Linked DNA regions of Nothobranchius furzeri. The protein of the gene in region 1 interacts with the protein of each later gene in a pairwise test. Links are inferred from orthologs where the notes say so. Each region holds a gene or a part of one and is shown on either strand. Other genes may lie near its edges.

What was found. The genes of interacting proteins can lie anywhere in the genome.
Region 2: the proteins of nmi (region 1) and glycine cleavage system H protein, mitochondrial interact in binary tests that used the Homo sapiens proteins (3 or more experiments, as listed by UniProt). The two-hybrid records come from large-scale screens. The link is inferred for Nothobranchius furzeri from reciprocal best matches to the Homo sapiens genes NMI and GCSH.
Region 3: the proteins of nmi (region 1) and zgc:154055 interact in binary tests that used the Homo sapiens proteins (3 or more experiments, as listed by UniProt). The two-hybrid records come from large-scale screens. The link is inferred for Nothobranchius furzeri from reciprocal best matches to the Homo sapiens genes NMI and MTMR9.

Annotation. Positions count from the first base shown.
Region 1 is NC_091746.1:33,694,702-33,702,203, forward strand, and holds the start of nmi (N-myc-interactor), read right to left. Parts: upstream 4,767-7,502; 5' UTR 4,638-4,766; intron 4,192-4,637; coding exon 4,129-4,191; intron 2,350-4,128; coding exon 2,191-2,349; intron 2,089-2,190; coding exon 1,972-2,088; intron 782-1,971; coding exon 613-781; intron 1-612. Other genes in the region: ubxn4 (UBX domain-containing protein 4), read left to right, coding at 5,286-5,421, 5,846-5,948. UniProt on the Homo sapiens protein: Acts as a signaling pathway regulator involved in innate immune system response.
Region 2 is NC_091744.1:70,842,356-70,849,840, reverse strand, and holds glycine cleavage system H protein, mitochondrial, read left to right. Parts: upstream 1-3,233; 5' UTR 3,234-3,273; coding exon 3,274-3,424; intron 3,425-3,592; coding exon 3,593-3,675; intron 3,676-3,767; coding exon 3,768-3,831; intron 3,832-5,172; coding exon 5,173-5,304; intron 5,305-6,314; coding exon 6,315-6,412; 3' UTR 6,413-6,861; downstream 6,862-7,485. Other genes in the region: si:ch1073-390k14.1 (deoxyribodipyrimidine photo-lyase), read right to left, coding at 7,328-7,485. UniProt on the Homo sapiens protein: The glycine cleavage system catalyzes the degradation of glycine. The H protein (GCSH) shuttles the methylamine group of glycine from the P protein (GLDC) to the T protein (GCST).
Region 3 is NC_091758.1:35,743,796-35,751,419, reverse strand, and holds the start of zgc:154055 (myotubularin-related protein 9), read left to right. Parts: upstream 1-3,372; 5' UTR 3,373-3,645; coding exon 3,646-3,830; intron 3,831-4,003; coding exon 4,004-4,060; intron 4,061-4,416; coding exon 4,417-4,525; intron 4,526-5,380; coding exon 5,381-5,506; intron 5,507-7,624. Other genes in the region: protein FAM167B, read right to left, coding at 1,488-1,751, 2,012-2,344. UniProt on the Homo sapiens protein: Acts as an adapter for myotubularin-related phosphatases. Increases lipid phosphatase MTMR6 catalytic activity, specifically towards phosphatidylinositol 3,5-bisphosphate and MTMR6 binding affinity for phosphorylated phosphatidylinositols.

The DNA of each region.
Region 1 (7,502 bases):
TCTATTCTGTCTCTATTTGCTCTGCTCTTGTCTGGGCTGATCAGCTGATGGTGCGCCTAACTAGCGGCTGATGCACATTTTACGCATTTGGAGAGGTGGGCTGGATGCTGTGCGTTTACTGGAAGATGGTTAACGCACGGGTGTAGACTACATATTAATGACAAATGAATGAAAATTAAATTGTGAGTTTTTACTTCATATTTTATAAATAAAAATGACGGGGGAAAACATTTATGACGTCTTTTTAAACAAAATTTTCTAGCGCGACCTGCCTGCTTCACTTAAGTCACTGCTTATTAAGGTCCATCCAGAATTACTGTGGGAAACGGGTAATAATGGCTCTTTGATGGGAATAGGTTGCCGACCCCTGGATAAGATCTGAGCTGGTAAAACAAAAATCCTCATCAGCAGGCGTTTTTGAAAGTGGGGGGGACACAGCTGCCAATCACAAATTTTGCCGGGGACATGTCCCCGGCGTCCCCGGTTAAAATGACGCCTATGGTCTAAGAGCATAATGACGGGACCCTTAACCGAGCCTACTGCAGGAATCTCACACATGCACCTAGTTAACAGCAACAAAGGTCAGGAAACAACTGATGAACTTCTACGTACCCTTCTCTTCTTCGAAGGTGAGAAGTGCCTGGCCTCCTTGTAGAAGCAAAGTAACTTGCTGGCTGATGGTAAACACTCCTCTGATCAAGTGGTTCATTTCATCAGTGCATTCTTTCTCTTTCATAGGAGCCAGAAACTTCACCTCTGTATGTGGAATCGGAGCATAAATCTGAGCAGAAAAACAGAAATGTTTCTCAGTGTGCAGGTCCTAATGGATGCAGACGAAACCCACTCCTCTGGAGGACTCACATTAAGGATTACATTTATACATCAAGAGGAACTTTGGGCTCTGCAGACCTGCTTCTTCTTATTTTCACTTAAGGACGTTTCAGCATTCAGTTTATTTACAGAATTCTGACACTTCACTGGTTGTGAAGGCAACAGAACCTTCTTTACCTTCTTTCTAGTTGAGACTCATGCACCACCGAGCCTAAAGAGGCAGTCACATTTTCAGACTAAATGCAGTAACAGCTCTCGCCTCTGAGAAGCATATCTGAGAGTCGCTCCTAATGAATTAGACAGGAATGATAAATTAGGTTTGCTCACAAAAGCTGTATCATCTGTAGGTGAATTCACCCCTGAGCTCTAGTCCTGCTTGAGTAATGATGATCTAGTTGATGTTTCGACCGCTACAATTGCAGACTAGATTTCCTCTCTGGACCTGGTGGATGGGTGATAATGCTCTAATGTGCTACAGGAGCAAAAATGGCTTTCTCTGTCATGGCATGTGGGTTTTTGGTTCCGTTTGTTTCTTTTTCAGTCAGCTTCCCACATCCCTCAGTGTTTAAGCATTCAGTATTCATTCATCGGTTTTCCGATCCTACTGTTGTGTTAGCTCGCTCTTTAAATCCTCTTCAACCCTGTTCATGTATTTTTCCTCCTGTTAGTTCCTGATTTTTCATCTTTAAAGCGTTTTTTATGTTTGCCTGCCTGTCTTCTCTGTGGTGACTGTTAGCAGCTAAAGCAGCTAAAAAATCTAAACATGCTACTGGTTTGTGAGCGTTGATCAGAGGCAGCCATATATTTAGTTAATGCCTGGATAAGGTCTGGATTAGAGATTGGAACAAGTCAGGATTAGAATGAGTTAATGGTCTGGTTAAAGCCACTAATAGGTCTCGATTGCAGACTGAAACCAGTAGCATCGGTCTCCAGTCCTGGTCCTGGAGCGCCCCAAGTGGTTTCCCTGCTCCAACACATCTGATTCAATGGTTGAATCCCCTATTCACCAGGCTATGAAGCCTGATGATCCCCCAAATTAGAATCAGGTGTGTTGGAACGGAGAAACAACTAAAACATGCTAGACAGTGGCTAAAAAGAACCAGAGTGCAAGAAGTTGAGTTCAGAGTTAGGCTTAATTACCTTGAATCTCTCTTTCAGTTTGGTAGATTCAGCTCTCTTTGTCTCCAATTGTTTCCGACATTTCCTGAGTTTTTCCTGTAAATCCTGCTTTTTTCTGGAAAGCTGATCGATTTCATCCTTTAGAAGAGGGAAAAAAAAGGTTGTTGAATTTAATGCCTCGTCCACCCAGCAGATGGTATTTTTAATTCCTGTTCTGTGGACAAACGATGTCCTGCCTACCTGCAGCTTGTCCTTCTGCTGCTTGAATTCTTTCTCACAAAGTTTCTGCTTATTCAACTGTTCCATCATCTCCCGTTGGGCCTTTCCCTTGGCTTCATCTTCTTCCAGTTTTTCCAGCAGAAGCCTGGATTTTGTATCTTCAGCTTTCTCTACTTTAGCCTGAAGACAAATTTTCTAGGGTCTATTTCATGCATAATCAACCTTTTGGAGCATCTGAACATATTATATTACTCGTTCCTCATCAAAAACAGCAGAAATGGTTGGACTGTATCTTCTGGAGCTCTCAAAAACCAAGCCAGAATGTGATGAGTGTGTCTGTGACCACGATTTCCCAGACTGCTTGTTGAACCTCTGCCAGTACCAGAGTGGATTTTCAGAACAATTACTTCATCAAATGAGCACCATTCCAACATTAAAACCACCCAAACAAGAGAAACCAAAATGCTAACCGCTACCTGGATAGTTTGGGGGGTGAGTGTAAGGGACGGACTGGGACAATGATGAGCCACACGAAGGACGGACTAATTTTTAAAAACAGATGACATCTCCTTAGTGCCAACAGTAAAATGTTGTCATATTAGCATTAGCTTTAACAGATGTGAATTTTTTGTTATTATTCTAATGCATCAAACAGCAGACAGCACATCCAGTCTGAATGCTATTTTTGAACTCCACAAAGGTCTGATTATACTCAGTCATGGATCTAACAAATAAAACAAGGTCTCAGATTAGCTTGGATGTACATGCAGCATTCATGTTAGGAGTGAGCTAGAGATCTTTTCCTTGGACAGTAAAGCCAGATGAGTGTTCAGCACAGCTCAACTAGTTTATATTCAGTCATTTTAGGTCCCTGATGGTTTTTCCCAAGGACTAAAACCTCCAAAAGACTTCCTCCTTGAGATTCTGAATTTCTTCCATGGAAATCTGAGCCTGAGATCGTACCATCTGACTCAAAAGACTCTCCTCGGGACTCTATAGTGTGTCCCTGGGATTGTTGTGTTCATCTCTTAGACCCTGAAGTCCCACCCTGGGTTGTTTTTATTCAACATACCACATAGTGGTTCACCGTATAACTGCTGTTCATGTGATGTAAACTTAGCCACCGATAGGAGATTTTGACTCTACCGCCCAGCCGCGATTTGTGCAGGATTGTTGTCAAGCTGCAGCTGGTTCAGCTTTGGATGAAAGTAGCGAGAATGTAGTAAGAATTTTACAGTGAGAAAATCCAAAAACAGTCTAATGTTTCCGTCACTTAGGGAGGAAGGTTATACTGAACCATATTTCATATCCAGCTGACTACGGGGTTTGTCAGTTTTTCTCCTTTCAAAACAAAGGAAGGAGGGGCGAAACTACTGTTTACCATAACTGAGTGTGGGGGTGCCGTGTCTCTTGTGAGCTGATACTGCAGCGCTGACAATTATTTTAGTTTTTTATCTACCTCACAGTATTTTCCTGTTGAAAGCAGAGAAGAAAATTAAACCTGTATTCCAATTCATTGCATTTTTTGTGTGTGTGGTAGAAGTATCGGTAATCGCTATCAGCAAGTACTCAGACCCTGGTATTGTATCGGTTTGGAAAAAAGTGGGTGCATCCTGACTTTAGTAGCTAGTTAACGCTAACTCCTTTAAATGCCGTTCTTTTTTTAACACGAACAAGCAGGCTTCCATGTTTTGGGCATAGCTCTGACATCCAGTTGACGCCTCCTGGATGTCTCCCTGGTGAGGTTTTATGGGCGCGTCCAACTGGGAAGAGACCTTAAGGAAGACCCGGGACACGTTGGAGACTATGTCTCACAGCTGGCCAGGGAACGCCTTAGGATTCCCCCGGAACAGCTGGCCCAAGTGGGGAGAGGGATGTCTGGGCCACCCTGCTTATGCTACTGCCCCTGCAACCTGACCCTGGATTAGTGGCCAAAGATGGAAGGATGGAGTTTCTCACCCGGAGCGCCTTCAGCTCTTTAAGGGCCTCCTCGTAGTTGTCCTCCTGTACAGCAGTACTCATCTGAAAAACACAAATGTCACTGCAACCAACTAGTAACAAAAAGCACTAGTTCACTGTCAGAGGAAAAAAACATGAAGCAAGGAGGTAGAGTTGAGATTAGAGTCAAAATGTAGAGGCTACTTCCACAGAAGAACTCAGAACTTTGTTGCAACCCAATTATCCAATTCAGCTTATCTTTGATGTACTATAAAACATTATACAAAGGTCCAGTTTCAAGCCATGACAGCAGTGAATGCAATTTGATTTCTATGATGAACATTCATTAATAAATGCCAGTTAATCGAAGAGAAACTGACTCGGAGCTGTATGAACTATTTGTTTTGGAGTGCGAAAGTCCAAACTTCAAAAGAAGAATTACAAAAGTAAAAGTCCCCCGTCATAGTAATAAACAGAAAGCTGGCCAAAATAAAACTTAAATGTGAACCCTTTTACTCTAACCACCTTACCTCGGTGTTTATTGTTTTCGTTTAATTACTTCCGATGTGACAAGAAACAAAGATTTGAAAAGTCCAAAAGAACTCTTGTTTACAGTAAAATGTCAAAACCAAAAGTGAAAGTTAAGACCGACGTGGGGCGGAAGTATACAGCGCGGATGGATATAGCAGAAAAAAGTAGAAAAACTAGTCCAGCTGATGCCAAATGAAAAAGAAACGGTGATTAGGGACACAGGGCCTAAAATAGATATAAAAGTGATCCTTGGAAAAAGGCCGTTGCTTTAGGACAGAAAAAAAAGCATGTCCCCTGCGGACCGGGGCCATGGAGCTAATAATGTAGTAATACTTTTTCTCGAAATATTGAAAGTCATATTATGGTAAATTATAATGTTATTATGGAAAGTCACATTATGGTAAATTATGATGGTGATTTTTTCGCCACTACCCTGTTGGGAGGCCAGTCATTAGTTAGGTATCTAAAAATAAATCTGGACAAAACCAGACTGCGACTTTGCCGCATGGCGGACGTGATGATGTGCTCTTTCTTTATACAACATAAAACAAACAGATGACAAAAATATAATAATAGAGTTTACAGATAGGGACAGACGCACGTGCGTCAGCGAGCGTGACCCACAGTAGGAAGAGGACTGCGTGCGCATGCGTACCAGTGTGATCAACAGTGAAGCTGACAGGAATAACCGTGTGTCGGAGATGCGTTGGTTCCAGGGCTCCATTCCTGACGCCATCAGCTATGCTAAACAGCGCACCTTTATCTTTGTGGTTGTTATCGCAGGTACTGTTGTCCTGGTTTCCCGCGTTCATTTACGGGATTTAGTGCTAACATAAAGCTAGCAACGGCTACTAGCCCTTAGCTTAAGTCAGCAGTCAGTAACAACTTCCGGTCAAAGAACTGGAGGGTCATGATCTGGTTCTACCTTTGAGTCAGATCAGAATCAGCCTCTGGGTTCGGGTCAGACCCATATCCTTGTTACCTGTTGAGTTTCCTACAGCCGAAGTCCTCTAGAAGCTGAATGATGACGTCTAGGTGTAGGAGACTTGATTCAGGGTCTGAGGGATCAGGCTTAGCACTGGGTCAGGGTCCGGGCCGAGCCTGATGTCAGCAGATTAACTGTTAACCATTGCAACATTCTGTTTCGGTGATAGAATACAAAGATTCACCACGTCTCGTGTTTCACTATTTTTGTCTCGTGTCTCAGGGGATGATGAGCAGTCAGCGCAGCTGATGTCTACCTGGGAGGACCAGCGTGTCTCAGAGGCGGCTGAGAGCTGCTGTGTGGCCATCAAAGTGGACGCCAGCAGGTAGGGACAATGTTTGTTTGACTTGCTGCTTTTACTACAAAGTCAGATCATGTTTGGGCACTTGTTGGTCGGCATCAACTTAAACTAAACCATTAAATATTCCACTATGATGGTTCTACCTGGAGTTCTGTTATGGTGATGTGGAGCTGAGTCTATGCTACCATGGTAACCTATATTCTACCTGGAGTTCTGTCATGGTGATGTGGAGCTGAGTCTATGCTACCATGGTAACCTATACATCCGTTTCATGATTATCTTGAGCAGAGATGGAGAATCCTGGTCCCCTGAGGGCCATCATCCTACATGTTTTAGCTGTTTCCCAGATTTGATTTTAATCAGCAGGGGTCTCATTTATCAAACATTGCGTAGAATCCTTACTAAAACCGTACTTAAGTTCAGCAAAAAAAAAAAAAAAGTACTTATGCCAAGTAGGTTTGTGATCTATCAAACATGGAGTACGCACAGCTGCACACAATCTCCGCTTCATAAATCGGAGACTGACGAGAAAGTTTCTCAGCTGCATTTTAGTCACATCCCACCCTCACCACACCCACTTACTGCCATAAATAATCAATGCAAAGTGCCTTGTGGATTCAAAATTCTATTCAATTCAAAGATACTTAATTGATCCCAGAGGGAAATTAGAGTTTCAGTACACACAATTCTGAGATTAGACATACAGTACATACATAGACTCATAAGAATTGGTGACTGTGGTCATTCGCAACCCGAGTTGCGCTACCTTAATAATAGATCAAGAGGGTTTATATGAGGATAGAGTCGGGGGAGGGAAAAAAATGCACTTCAGAGTTACCCCGGCTTTCCACTGGAGCCGTCAGCAGCGCGAGTCGGCCGCGTCTCAGGAGCAGCATGTCGCAGCCTTTACGCGCCGGTTCTATTTTCTACGCGCGACGCCTCTGAAACGGGACATGTTCGACATTTTTGGGAAGGAAAGACAGGAAATCGAACGCGGAAATGGAGAGAAGCTTCCGAGATTTTCAGAATAAAGAAACGTACTGCCTTCCGGTTGCTTTACTTTAAAAAAAGTTACTAAATGTGCGGCCCCGTGAGAAGTTATCACCTAGCTAGCGGTCTCCTTTGTTTTTCAGGTCCGTATTGGCGATTATAAAACGGACAGAACATAAAACACAAACCTTTTGGAGCCATGTTGTAGTTTTCTCCTGCTTGTTGTTGTGTTTACTGATGAAGTTGTTGTGTGACTTCATGCTCGGTCGGTGACAGCTGCTCCCCTGCTGCTTCGCATCTCGTGGGAAGGGCCAAGCAGCAGTTTACGCGAGCAAGACGTGCTGCTGGAGGCTCCTGTGGAAAGCTGGGGTTACCCTCCACAGAGAGGGCAGCTTTGCTATGCAAAAAATCACCTCAGACAGAAATGCATACAGACTTCAGACATTACACAACATAAGTGTCCACTAGGTGGGGAGGTAGGGTTGGAAACTCTCCTTACTTCAGTGCGTGCACCCACAGATGGCAGCGTTTATCACCTCCGACTGGACAGGGAAGGGAGATAAAATGGGTTAGCGAGCACATTGACTC
Region 2 (7,485 bases), on another chromosome or scaffold:
TGGAGACTGGCTAGGCCACTCCAGAACCTTGAAATGCTTTTAATTCAGCAATTTCTTTGCTCAGGCGGTGTGTTAGGGATCCTTTTCATGCTGGAAGATCCAGCCACATTTCATCTTCACTGATGGAAGGAGGCTTTTGCCCAAAATCTACATGGCCCCATTGGTCCTTTCCTTAATTAACATGGATCAGTCGTACTGTCCCCTTTGTTTATGTTTATGTTTATTTATTTGGCAGACGCTTTTATCCAAAGCGACTTACAATTTATAACCTATAGGGCATGCTGTGATCTGTGGGGGAAACCAGAGTACCCGGAGGAAACCCACGCATGCATGGGGAGAACACACAACTCCACACAGAAAGGCCACAGCTGAGTTTCAAACCTGCAACCTTCGTGCTGCGAGGCAACAGTGCTAACAACTGCGCCACCATGCAGCCTTTGGAGAGAAGTATGTTTCCACCCCCATGCTTCACAGTGGGAATGGTGTTCTTGCAGCTAGCTTCTCTCACCAAACCCTCTGTCGGGATTCTTGGTGTGGCCTTTGACCCACTCTGGATTCCCATGTCAGTTCTCTTGTTTGCTCTTCTTTCATCTCAGGAACATTTCTTAACTAAGTCGCGTTCTGAACTTGAGATTGTTATCAACACCTTCATTTCCTCATGCGTGGACTTTTGCAACTCGCTTTTCACTTGCCTGAGAAAAACTTCCCTGAACCGTTTACAGGTGGTTCTGCATCCCTGTGCTCTGCTTCTGACAGAGTTTTCCGAACACACCCACGTCATCCCGCTCCTCTTCCAGCCTCAAGATCATTTGTACCCCACGAAGTGAGATCTTGCATGTAGTTCCAGGTCGAGGGAGACTGTCAGTGATCTTGTGTTTATTCCATTTTATCCAACAGTTGATGTCTTCTCACCAAGCTGATTGACTATTGGCTCATCCCAGTTTTAGTCTCACAGCCCAGGTGTAAAATCCTGTCTCTGGTGTTCATAGACAGCTCTCTGGTCTTGGTAAGAAAGGTTTATTTATATAGCATTTATCACAGAAAGGAAAATCACAAAGATCAACAAAATAAACAGTAAAGTCATAAAATCATGAAATGATCATAAAGTCCAAAAAACATATATCAAAAAACAAATGAAAGATAATTAAAATCAGAAAAGCACATTTTAAAACAAAATGTTAAATAAAATGGTCATAAATCAAAACTACAACACATAAAACAAATAAAAGATGATTAATCAGATAAGGCCATTGTACAAATGAAGAAAACAAATAAAAGGGTCTTCAGCTGCTCTATAAAGGTGTCCAGTCTGTCAACACAACATAAAAATAAAAGATCACTCCAAAGTAGAGGATGAACAGTGTGAAAGAGCAATCGCCTTGACTTTTATATCGGGTCTTTGGAACTTCTGGGAGGTTCTGGTGTGTGGACCTGAGGGCTCGGGTTGGAGCAGAAGGCTTTAACAGTTCAGTAATGTAGGGAGGAGCTTGACCATGTAGAGCATTGAAAGTTATAATCAGGATTCTAAAATGAACTCTAAAGTTAACGGGTAACCAGTGCAGAGACATCAGAATAGGAGTGATGTGTGCTCTTCTGTTTGCTCCAGTTAGGAGCCTCTCTGCAGAGTTCTGGACCAACTGAAGGTAGTCAATGGCTTTTTTCATCTGGAATGTGTTACAGTAATCTAGATGGAAGGAGATAAAGGCATGGATGACCATTTCAAGTTCATGCTTTGACACCAGCGTTCGCAGTTTGGAGACATTTCTCAAATGATAAAAACAGTTTCGGACCAATGTTTTTGAGTGGCTTTAAGGAACAATGATCGGTCAAAAACAACACCCAAGTTCTTCAAGTTTGACTTGACCGCAGAAGTTACATGACCAATTTGTTGACTGATTTTAGCCATGGTGGAGGTTGGCGTGTGAATGTTTGAACATCTGATCAGGTGCCTTTTTTATAGCTAACGAGTGGAGGACTGAGAAACTTCCTGAAGAAGTAACAGGTCTGTGAGGGCCAGAACTATTGCTTGTTTGTAGATGCTTGATACTTATTTTCTGCAGAACATAAATATTTTAAAAATCATACAGTGATTTCCTAGAATTTTTTTATTGCATTCAGTATTTCACAGTTGAAGTGCGCCTATGTTGCAAATTACAGATCTCTCATATTTTAAGTGGAACGACTTGCATAACTGGTTGCTGCCAAATGCTACTTTTTTCCCCACTGTGTAACATTCTCAATCATCCAGATCATGGTGCATTAAAGAAATCAGCCTTCCTTTCTTGGTTCTTAAAGCTGTTTCAGTATTATTTAAAAAGGCTTCTTAAGTTCTGCTAGATCTGCTGATGACTGGCAAGATTTGGACTACTTTAGTAAAAAATCTTCTGCGTACATCCCTCTTGAGATTTTTTTTAAATTACCAGCAGAAAAAAGCAAATTCAAGTGACAACAAAGCATAAATGTGACAGAGAAGGGTCTGTGCAATGGAGATCTTGCTGCAAGGCAAACGTTTATCAACATCCTTTGAAAGAATCTGCAAAGAAATGACAATAAAAAGTACAAAACTAACAAGATTAATATTAGCTTGCTTGATTTGATTTATTCAACAAAATAATTCAGATATTTAAATTTAAATAATGATCTCAGACAGTCAAAATGAAAAATCCCTTCAAAGTAAAGACAACACCCTAGTTCATCCCAACTTCTTTGGGAAGAGGAAGTATTTTTTTAAATTCAGGCTGCTATATTACCCATAAAATTTTAAATACATGTTCCTTTGAATTTTAGCCCACTTATAAATAGTTTTACATATGTTGAATCATATGTTTTATTTAATTCTCTTCTCTTAATTATGTGAAAAGACAAATCCATTGCAATCAATAGTTTCTGGTCAATGTGCCTGCTTCTGAGTGCTAAAAGATTGTTTTAAGTCCTTTGTCTTTATATCTAACTGTCTTTATCTCATTTTGATCTTGTTTGTTTTTATTTTCTGTTTTTCTTTGGTATAAAGCTACTTATGTGTCTGCTGCTGCTGCCTCTTGGCCAGATCGTCGTTGTAAATGAGAATGAATTCTCAATCGACTCATCTGGCTAAATGAAGGTTACATAAAATAAATAAAACAAACGAATAAAAATGTGTTTTCACGTTCAGGAGGAAGTCCCCGTTCGCTTGTCGTGCCTAACTTTGACCAGTAGGTGGGAGCAAAACGCCGCTGCTGTTTCCAACAGCAACACAGAACAAATCGACCTTCTTCTCATCAGTAAGCGACAGAGATGGCCGTCTGTGTGCTGCTCCGTTCTTTCTCTTCCAACTTTTCCACAGTTTTGCCTTTACTCACTCGCTCGGCATCGCGTTGTCCGTTACAGCTGGCCCCTAAGCCTTATTTTGGAAGAACGCTAGCCTCTTCTAGCCGAATATCAGCAGGTATTTCTCTATGAATCGGTTTTAGAGTAGCTTCTGCTAACACGTTGGTTAGCAGAAGGTTACCGTTAGCCAAATGGAAAGACGCTTCATTTGGCGGCGCTGCTGCGGGTAGTGGTGTGTTTCAATGACTTTTGCACAGATCTCTGACCGAGTTGTGTTGTTTCGCAGCACTTAAATTCACAGACAAGCATGAATGGATTCGAGTAGAAGATGACGGAGTAGGTACAGTCGGTATCAGCAACTTTGCACAAGTAAGTTTCCCAACTGCGCGCGTGCACAGTTAGATAAACGTGCTAAAGTACATGTTTTAGTTACCTTTGATCTTGTTTTTGACCGCGCGCAGGAGGCTCTGGGAGATGTAGTTTACTGTGGACTACCAGAGGTGGGAACACAGCTGGCACAGCAAGGTATGAAGTGTCCCTCGTGGGTTTGCTGGCTCTCACAGAGCCCTTTTCATATTAAAACAATAAAATCCTTCATTTGTTTGAATGCTGTTGCATTATCCAGTTATATTTGAGATGTTTGCATCGACAACACGAAAACTAATTTTCAATGTTCTACATTCACCGATTCAGATTTTCAGAGCCATTTGTGTGTGTGTGTGTGTGTGTGTGTGTGTGTGTGTGTGTGTGTGTGTGTGTGTGTGTGTGTGTGTGTGTGTGTGTGTGTGTGTATTCTCTGCTGAACTACATTTAGGCCACTTCTGTTTAATCTCTATAACTAAAATTAATCCAGACTCCCCACCACTTCAAAATTCATTTTAAGATTATGATTCTGAAAGTATAAACAGCCGCATGAAAAATCTGTTTACACTCTTTGGTGCAAATGGGGGAAAAAGCTAAATCCTCTGTGCCGTACATAGGTGTGTATTGGCACGAATCTAGAGATATGATATATCAGGGAGATGATGTGACATAGTGTGATACTCAAATCCAGATGATATTTGCAAAATTTTAGCCTGAAATTAATTGGAAACCCCAGGCCAGGCTCTTCCAAGACACATCCGGTGTAATGGTGAGATCTCCTGTCAGGATGAAGGATGTAAAAACGGAATAATTTAAATGAATACTGTAAATTTTCAATAACAGTCGATGCACTGCTTCACGAATATCGAGTCAGTATCACAACATATTGCTATATTTCTGTGTATTGATATTTTCTTACACTCCTATCGTTTGATTTTTTTATTAATGAAAAGGTTAGATTTAAAATTCATCTCTAGCTTTGACATTATTTAATCATAGATTAAAATATACACTTTTGTGTCATTTTATTTACAGTTATGAGATTTTTCAAGGCAAGAGCCAGTTTTTATTTAACAGGAAACTGTCCATAAATTAAGGTGTATGTAGGTGGTGTTTCTTTTTCTGCCATAATAAAAATTGCAACCAATCAATCAGACAAACAGTAGTTGAATTTGCCATTAGAATTAATTTTTATTGTTGTGTTGTTATAAATGCTTATTTGATCTTCGGTAAAAATCAACAATACTGTACTGTAAACAAATATTTCTAAGTTGTTTTTGTTTTCAGGTTTTGTGATATAATTGACATCGAAGTCTTGTGATAAATGGCTCATGTTTGTAAATATTTACAGAGCTGCTTTGACCTCATAATGCAACCTTATTGAGTGTGTTTCATTTCCAAAATGACTCATTTTTGGTGTAAATCCTGTGGTATCGTTTGGATTGTTAAGTGCAATACAAATAAAGCTGATGATAAATATTTTTGTTTGTCACACTGTCATAGATGAGTTTGGAGCCCTGGAAAGTGTGAAAGCAGCCAGTGAGCTTTATTCACCTTTGACTGGAGAAGTTGTAGAGGTCAACACGTTGCTGGCGGACAACCCTGGTCTGGTCAACAAGTCTTGCTACAAAGATGGTAATTTTGTACACATTATTCAGTTTATTTAGCTCATTTAGGTCTTTGAAAATGGTAAGTTTTTAAAGTGGTGATGCACCGATATGAAATTTTGGGTCGATACAGATATTTAGATCACTGTTATGACCGATAACCAATAATTGCCGATACTGATTGCTTCTAAAATCGGCAGATTTGTGTAAAAAATGATTAAAGCTGAATTTACCATTTTATGTACACACACCACACACAGTTATGCTCCTGAGATGATTTCATTCACTGCTCACATGACTAAACAAATGCACATCACCCCCCTCACCCTCTGAAACAGGGAAACAAATGTAGACAAGATGGAAAAAATATTGGTCGTTAATATCGGCTCGGTTTTATTTATCAGACCGATACAGATATGATAAAAATACAGATATCGATGCCGATATATTCCCAATTTTAAAGTAATAATCTGTGTGTTAATGGGTAGATTTTAAATTGTAGAAAAGAATAATGTTTTTTTGTTTGCACAGTTTTGCAAATTTTTTATTTACAACCATTGTTCTTCTGAAATGGACCAACTAAACAAGAATGGAAATTTGACAGAGCTTATGAGAAACTACTGATAACTGGTGTAAATTTGCAAGTTGCACTAATTAATCCTCATATTCACACCTGATTATTTTCTATTTATATAAATAACTGCTTAAGTTGTTGTTTTCATATGTATCCAGTTAAAGTATTGACACAAACAATTCAACAATTCTGTTTCCCAACTTTATTTTCATGAGCTCTCAGGTTCCAAGGTTGGACAGTAGGTGGCAGTACAGTTTAAGCCTGAGGCTAGGTTCCGCAGCTCCTGATCCACGTGGATGTCATCACGCTAAGCATCTACAGAGATTCTTGTGCCTCTCCTTATGATTGTATTTTTAAACTCGCTTAAGTACTAAAGCCCTCACAGACCTTCATCAGCAGCACGTCACTGATCAGTTCAAGCATGTTTGCCTTTGAATCCCAGCTAACCCTGGCTTTCCTCACAGGCTGGCTGATGAAGATGACAATTGCTAATCCTGCTGAGCTTGACAGTCTGATGGATGAACCAGCATATGAAAGATACATCCGCTCCATTGAGGAGTAGCCCTTCATCTCTTAATATGTGCAATGCTTCTTCTCCATTTCCAGCACCGTTGTGAGGGAGCTGCACTAGATGTGCCTCGGTTACATCACATTGCAGCAGTTGATCTTTACATCCTCTGGCTGCTGATCTGCTTTTGTTTTAGAGTCGTGAACTTTAGAAAACAATGTATTTACCCACTGTTAAAAGGCTGATGTAAAGGGATCCATCAGTCTGCACTGATTAAACAAAATCAAGACTTCTTTCAGCTTCCAATCCACAAACAGATGAGAAGGAAACTCAGTAGAATTTGCTCTGAAGCATTTTAAAGGTTGGAAAACACAAAATTCTGTTCTAGTACACTGTTAGACCTAAACAAGCACTTTGATCCTTATGGTATGATTAATTATGGCATTCAAAACTATGGATATGGGACCTGTATAATAGAAAATAAACATTTCCTTACACTTTCAGTTTTCTCTGGATTTTGTTTCCCAAATCTTACTCTTAAAAATGTAGGCAACACGTTACCGTTCATCATGTGAGGTTCTTTACTGGGTCACAGCCAGCTGGTGCTCACACACAACCCTGGACCTAGAATGTAACAGATAATCACTTCCTCTAAAAGATTTGAGCCTTGGAAAACAAAATGTAATGATTTGCGACCACAGAGAACGGTGACGTCTGATGGTTACAGAACCTGCTGTAGCCCTCCAAGTCTGTTCTGGCTTCACCAAAATCAAGAATAGAACTGAGCGGTTTTTCTACATGCCGGTGGAAAACACTTCCTGAGGTATTACTTGAAACATGTTTTGTAAACTATTAAGGTTGGTTAGGAGTCTCAACCCCTTATGTAAACTCGTTTTAATAAAAAAAAAAACATGTGTTTTCACAGCAGTAAAAGTGCAGATTTGAACTCTGGATGCTTGGCTTATGAGTTCACTTTAATAAAGTAACTGCTCCACCGGGTACGATGGAGAACCTGTCCTTGGCCGTAGGGGTTCGCCTGGCCCTTCCACGAGGTGACGGAGACGAAGGAAGCCCTTCTATTCTACGATAATCCCTCTCCAGCCTTCCCTGTCTCTGGGCGCTCTCGT
Region 3 (7,624 bases), on another chromosome or scaffold:
CGTATTGCTTGTTAAACCATAAAAGAAGGATTTCCAGGAGGAACGGTTTTTCCGGAACTGTGCTGCTCTGGGTGGCTGCATGTTGGAGTAGCTCTGTTGACTATATGTAAGTTTTGCCTTTTCTTGGATGTTTTTTCTTCTAGTTTCTCAAGAAAAACTGTATATTTTTGGACACTTTACTTTTTTGTTTTTGGTGCTGTGAAGCTTGGAGGATTTTTGCTGCTATTTTTTTTAGCTTTTTTCACTTTTTGAGCATTTGTTATGATGCATAACCATGGCAACAAGCTGATTTGCAATCGGGAGCAGCTGAAAGGCTGAAATAATACCTCAACTGAAGCCACAAATCCCAAATGAGCTAAAACGCAAGAAGCGTGGGTGCAGAGCGGGAGCAAAACGGAGACAGAGAAAGAGGAAATTCAAACCATCTCTTCCATCGATCATAATGGGCAATGTGAGATCACTGGCCAACAAGATGGAGGAACTCCAAGCCCTTTCAAGGACTCAGCCAGAGTTTCGGCAGTTTCGGAACCGCTGGAGGAGATAAAGCAAAGAAGGATTCTCCAGAGAATCAAGAAAATGATGGACAACCCTGAGCATTCTCTTCACAAGACTGTCCGACAACGGAAGAGTGTCTTCAGTCAGAGGCTTCTTCAGTTCTGCTGCAACACTGACCGCTACTGGAGATCCTTCCTGCCAACAGCCATTGTAATATACAACAACTCTATGATGACTTGATTATTATTATTATTCTGAGCTACTACAGCAATCAATTTCCCTCTGGGATTAATAAAGTATTTTTGAATTTGAATTGAATTGAAAACAAATTACTTATGCCTGTCATTGTCCCCCAAGCTCCAGAAAGCATTTGGTCACTTTCCAGCCTTATGTAACTGCTGCTCTGCAGCATCTAGACGTGCCGCTGGGAAACAAAACAGCCTCCTGTGTCTGCTCACTGTCGTGCTGAGGCCATAAAGATATTTGTGGTTTGTTAAGGAGAGGTGCAAAAACTGTTTGTGCTTCCTGGATGAAGGAATTCTGTTTATTTTAAAGATTCTATGAACTTAAAAAAAATCTGATGCCAAAAGGCCCAACGTATGAAGTCTTTGACATCATCAAAGCAACTTGCTAGAAACAAAACTGCTTGGAAACAATTTGAAATGCGAATATTTTGCTTTAAAAAGGCACTTTTCCTTCCTGTTTGCAGCTCTTATCACGTGATTGCTTTCAAATTGGGGTCACAACCCATCTAACTGCTTGTAAAATCTGAAAATGTGCATTGCATCCTTTCCAACTCCTCTCTGCGCCCCTTTGGCACAATCAAAATGTTGTTATTGCATCAACAGATCACACAACTTCTAAGTTAATTGGAATAATGTGCATTCTGTTCCACATCAGTCGTGGTTTTCGGAGTAAACTCAGATTCAGCAGGAAGCTCTGACGGTCCCAACGGTGTGCACAGGCTTTAGTTTTCTAACCAGGAAACAGTTTCAGCACAGTGAGAAACGTCTGGAGTTGATGTTCATCTTGGTGAGGCCCAGGTGTTTCAGAGGAGTGGACAGGGCGAAGGCGGCCTTCATGGGGATGTCACACAGCAGGTCCGACTCCTCTTCGCACTCCTCCAGCTCGTAGGTGGCGTCGTCCAGCATCTCCTTGTGGCGGTGGCACACCTGCTCCACCTTCAGCCGGTGGATCTCCACACGCAGACGGATCAGCTGACGGGCCAGGCGGTTGTCCTGGACTTGCATCTCCCTCTGAGAGAGAAGAAAGAAAGAAGAACGTTAGTAGGAAGGAACTCTGAAGGGTTTTATCTCATCTTCTTATCAAATATCTGGCGGAGTGAGCTGCAAGCTGAGACTGGGAGGAAGCAGTTATCAGATGTTTCACAAACTCTAGTCTGAGTCATCCTGGATTAATCAGATCATCCATCCTTTCTGAATGAAACTGAAATAAAATGCATTCTTGTTTAGACGGTGACAGATTATAAATGCATTCGTGACCAGGGGGAACTCACGAGCTCTTTCCTCAGAAACTCCAGAGCATCATCAATGGTATCAAAGCCGCAGATGTTGCGCACAGCCAGGTCCGAGTTCTCGCTTCTCAGAGCTGCAGGGACAGAGAAGACGTCTCCTCCAGAGTCGGGACTGTCCTCTGGGTTCCTGTCCGTCCACGGGTGACTCTGGAGTCGCTCCTGCCACTCCAGATAGGACGGTCTGCGCGTCTGCAGCTTCAGCTTCTCCGTCAGCGCTTTGACGCTGTCCAGGTCCTCCGCGTCTCCCTCCGAGCTGTCAGCTCCAAACTCCTGGAAATCCTTCTTCGCAACAGGAGAAAAAGCTTCACGGTTCATGTTGGAGCCGCTCTTTGCTGCGCAACAGGTCCATGAAGCCGTCTTAACAGGGAGAAGTGGAGTGGCCGCCCATCCCGCGGAGGATGGGAGGGGTGGATGATTTAAGAGAGAGAGAGAGAGAGAGAGAGAGAGAGAGAGAGAGAGAGAGAGAGAGAGAGAGAGAGAGAGAGAGAGAGAGAGAGAGAGAGAGAGAGAGAGAGAGAGAGAGAGAGAGAGAGAGAGAGAGAGAGAGAGAGAGAGAGAGAGAGAGAGAGAGAGAGAGAGAGAGAGAGAGAATGCCTAGAATGCTGCACATAATGTTTTTTTTCTATGTTAAATAGTTCACTGTTTTTGAAGTGGGGTTCTGAGGAAAAGTTATGATCAATAATCGATTTCATAGAAAAGCCTCAGTTTAATGAAAAAATATGAAAGAAAAAATGCGCCAATTCTCTCATGTGCTCCAATTGTTTTTGTTTTAATGGCGTTTAAATAGGTTTTAGTTGTTTTAAGCTTGGTGAAGCTTAACAACTTTTAGAGGTTTTTAACAGACGAGGGACCAGAGTGCTGGTTTCCTCTTGGCTCCCAAACTTGTGTGGACTTTGTGTGTGAATGCTTGGGAGCATTCGGATGTCTGTTTTAAACATAAAACCATGGCCTTTTAAACACTGTTTTACGTACTTTTAGATTTGGAGCTTTTTGTCATTTTAAAATCCTTTTAATAAAATCATTGTTTACAATTTTAACACCTGAAGCACACGCCTCTGTGTTACTCTCCGTCCTTCTCCTTATCCACCAATAGAGGACGTTACAATTTTATTTGCATAAACATTTTAAATTGTGTTTAAATGTGTGACATAAAATTACGCTTCATAAAAAAGTTGGTTATTTCTAGGATGGACCGCACAGCTGTTTTGACCACGTGCTCATGCCGCCACCTAGCGGTGATTAAATATGTTGCACACACGCTGCTGCCTGTCCGCTGAACAAATTTTGCCGTTAAAATGAGATCAGACCTCTTGACTCTCAGAGGAAACGCGCACTTCCGTCTTTTGTCACCTCAGCCAGATCATTTTTCTACTTCCACAGCTGCCTGGTGTTCAGCTGGCTGCTGCTGCTGAAACTCAGAAACTTTCTGCGATGATCAGAGAAACATGAAGCGTAAATCTATTTATAGGCTCCTTATCGTGGTGAAGCAAACAGAGCGCTGTCCAACCAGCTCGGGGCGCGTAAGAGGAAGCTTACTTTCATTTTCCCAATCAAAAGGCGAGGAGGGGATTTTTGGTGACAAGGTTTAAAATTAAAAGTCACGAAAGCAGGCGCTGATGGAGTTTTCTGAGCACATCAAGACAGCCAACGTGGAGGATGTTGAGCTCCGGCAGCCGCTGCACCCACCGAGCAGAGGGACCCTCTGCATCACCGGACACCACCTGCTGTTTTCGGACAGGGAGGTGGGCAGCTCCAGGCACGTGCTCTTGCTGCTCAGGAACATTGATGCCATTGAGAAGAGGTGAGGAAGGAGAGGAGGACAGAAAGTCATCATTTTAATTTCTCATTAAACTTCAGATTTCCACAACTTTAAATCAGCTTTTTGCTATGAAATGATTTAACATTTCCCAAAACAAATGAAACCCAATCTGTGACTCTATGTGTAATTTAATCCCTGAAATCTTTTTGAACCAGTGTGGAAAACCTTTTGGGCTATTCCGGCTTCCTCTCTAAAGCAGGCCAGAGTGAAAGGTTAGGACATTGTTGGTGTTGCTGTTTGCTGCTGCTGCCCACAGTGCTGAAGAAGGATGTTTGCTAAAATGATTGCAGCAACTTTTTCTCCCATAACACAAGCTTTTGCATTGCTTGCTGCTGCTTTCCGTCATGTGAAAGCCCTGCTCAGACTCCTCTATGCCTGCCAGTGACAAAAGAGAAAGCAGTTGTTGCACATGCAGTTTGTGGGGATAAGAACGTCCCCTTCCACAGACTGCTGGCTACGTTTGCCTTCCTCTTCGACAAGTTGAGTCTCCTGCACTGCTAAAGCATTGTCCAAAAACAAGGATGTAATTTTCTCTGAAAATCCAAAGTACTGTTTTGTTTTTGTGCAGGATAGCAGCCTCCTCGGGGACCATTACCATCAAGTGCAAAGATCTGCGCGTGCTTCAGCTTGACATCCCAGGCATGGAGCAGTGCCTCAACATTGCACACTCCATTGAGGTATAATGGGTGGTGTTCATCTCGCTGATCAAGCAACTTTTGGATTAGTTCAAAGGTTCAAGCCCCTTTCTTCAGGCTTTCCCCCTTAAGCCACACCTCCAAAACACAGGGATGCAAAATACTTATTCTCGAGGATCCAGAATTGGTTTCAACCCATTGTTGTTAGGTTTTCTCACCATAATTTCTAATGTGATGTGCATGATCATGTGACATTTATTAGGTAGCATAGTGTGTGACATTTTTATGTTTCTTGGTTAATTCTTCATAAACACAGCAGCTCTGTGCCACCAACGGTGTGGGAAGACCCCACAACAGCTCAAAACATTCAGAACCCAACTTGAACCTCCTCAGATGTGCTCTCCTCTCAGATGCCCCCCCCCCCCCCCCCCGACACACACACTCATACACACGCCCAATGACACACTGACAGCTCTGACAGCTGAACATGGACAGGCTGTGTTCACAGACAACAGGTCCGTCACCTTAACGTTTCCCTTTACAAACGACAAACATTCAGTCCGTTACACCAGCTGGCTCTGGTTCAGCTGCTCCAAGCTACAAATGTGTGATTTGTTTCTAAAAGGGGTGTGTGCAGAGGGGTAGAGATGGTCAGAGGGCAGTTTGTTGGATGGATTATGTTCCAGTCATAAAGAAAATGGGATGTTCACAATGACTGGATGAGATTTTCACAGGACAGTACATTTGAAAGGCAAATAAAATCATTCCTTTTGTCGACAAACATTGAATTTATTGAGTGGCATCGGCATGTTTAGAGAATTTTAAGCAATATGTTTAAAAATGCTCCAACTTTGTGCCAACTGCCAACTAACTACCTCTCTTCGTGACTTTCCGTAGACCCTGTCCAGTCTGGACAACGTGTCGGAGATGTATCCTTTCTTCTACAGACCTATTGACCTCAGCCTGCAGGACCAGTGGGACCTTTCCTCACCCGAAGAACACTACAGGCAAAAGACGGAGCTTGTAAGCAACACTTTTCATATTTCTAACATACAGGGATGGGCTTTTTGAATAGACGTATACATTCAACACTCCATATGACAATCCAGCCATCCTATGACAGGAAAATGGCAGGGCGGTTGACTTTAGAGGTCACTAACCAGGATATCCCGGTTGCTTAGCTTTCATTTGTTTTTCCTTAACATCAGAATGTGCTGCACAGCTTGAATTCATATCTTCTGGGGATAGGGGTTGCTATGGTGAGGGGTTGGGTCCTACAGAGGGCATTGTTTTATAGTCTTAAAAAGGCGGGGCGAACGTTCTTGTCTTGAGCTTCGGGGAAAGTCTGATGGAGTTTGCATGGCTACATATTTCTGCTTTGCCTGTTTTTGTTACTAAACGGGGATTTCAGTCTCAGATTAACTTTACTGATCCCTCTGGAAAGGCCCTCTGAGAAATTGTGTTTTCCAGCAGGAGCAGCAGCCACACATATCTAACAGTAGCATGATTGCGTGTAGGATGGAGGAGTTCCTGTAGGTCCTTGACTTTGGCAGAAGCAGCGTGTCACTGACCAGCCTTCTTTGGTTGTTGATCATGGTGTGAAGTTGGTGCCTGGTGTCGTCTCGAATGGACAATCATTTTTTTTAGCGTTCTCTGCTCAGCCACATTCTTTAGAGTCTGGTTTTGAGCCAACCACAGATGTGACCCTCAGCTTCTTCTGCCTGGGTGCATCCTTGTTTTTGTGTCACACCTCCAGCCCATACCGCATGAAAGATTAGGGATGAGGATCAATTTGGGAAGTTTGGAGTTTAATTATTAATTACTTCTGCAAATTGCAAACTGTGACATTTACTTGTTCTCCACAAAACTCTACAAAGAGTGATTTAGTTTGCAAAATTATATTTCAGGCTTACAGTTGTCAAATTTAACGTGCCTTAGTGTTCAGAGGTCATTATTTTCTATAGGATGGCCTTAAATGCTTTGTTTTAAGTCACTGTGTGTTTGAGAGCTCATTCTGTGCTCTGATTGGCTGTTTGGTAGATCAGAAGCTAGGGAGCACAGGACAGCTGTTAAATGACTTTACTATCCAAACTAGTCGTTATGTGCTCATGGCGGTGTAACAGAAACAAGCCTGGTTTGTAAACAAAGATGTTTGAAGAACTTCAGGAAATTTTGCCAGGTGCAGACTGTTAAGTCTTGGATCTTATCAACAATGACACGTCAAACCACAGAGATGAGGTTTGCAAACTGTCCACATAGAGCAGCAGCAGTCTCAATTCTCAATCTCAATCTTGGGAATGTGAAGGAGGCTTGTTGATTTGAGACGAACATCCAGAATCTTCCACTGAGCATTACTTGTGCCTCTGAGGAAAGATTGAACAGCACCAAACTCCTGGATGTGGATCTTCCCAGTCCACCCAGTAACCACCGGTAGAGCCCTGCACGGGCCTAAAATCTGAGCCCGTTTCCGGCCCGGCCCGAGGGGGTGGAGCCCCAGCCCGACCCGGCCCGAAAAGGTTTTCAGGATTCTCTGGCCCGGCCCGAGCCCGACTTTTTTTTAAACAACTAAATGAAAACAAAGTGCGTCAATTCTGACCAATGTGTTAAAAGACGTGCAGGATCCGATCAATTTGTTTTTCCCTCGTTTACCGTCACGGAGATAACTGGCACCGCACTGGCTCTGGTGTAAATCAAGTTAAATTTTACCTCTTTCCAACAATTTTCACAAGAAAACAAAACAGTCAAGAGCAGGGTTTGTGTTGTGTTGACTGGATAGTTCCTGTATTTGACCGTTAATTTTGATGGAGAAAGAATAGAAAAAATTACCCAGACGCATGCATGCATCTTATTCGTTATGCACATTGCAGATGTAGCTAAATCACCCAAGAAAAGATTCCCATCTGAACATCTGACCTGGACACTGCTCAGCGCAGCTGAGCGCGTCGCAGAACCAGAGCGCATGCGGGAAGCTTCCTCCCACTGAAGCGAGTGTTTTCCAAACCCTGTCACTCAGAGAGACTTGTCACTTAGAAAATGTTCCCTGATTATGAAACTTTGGCTGAATAGTACTTGTTCCTGTCTCCAATGTGGCGACGCATCCAGGAGCCGTCTGAGGAGAAGCCCAGAATCTCACATCCTCTT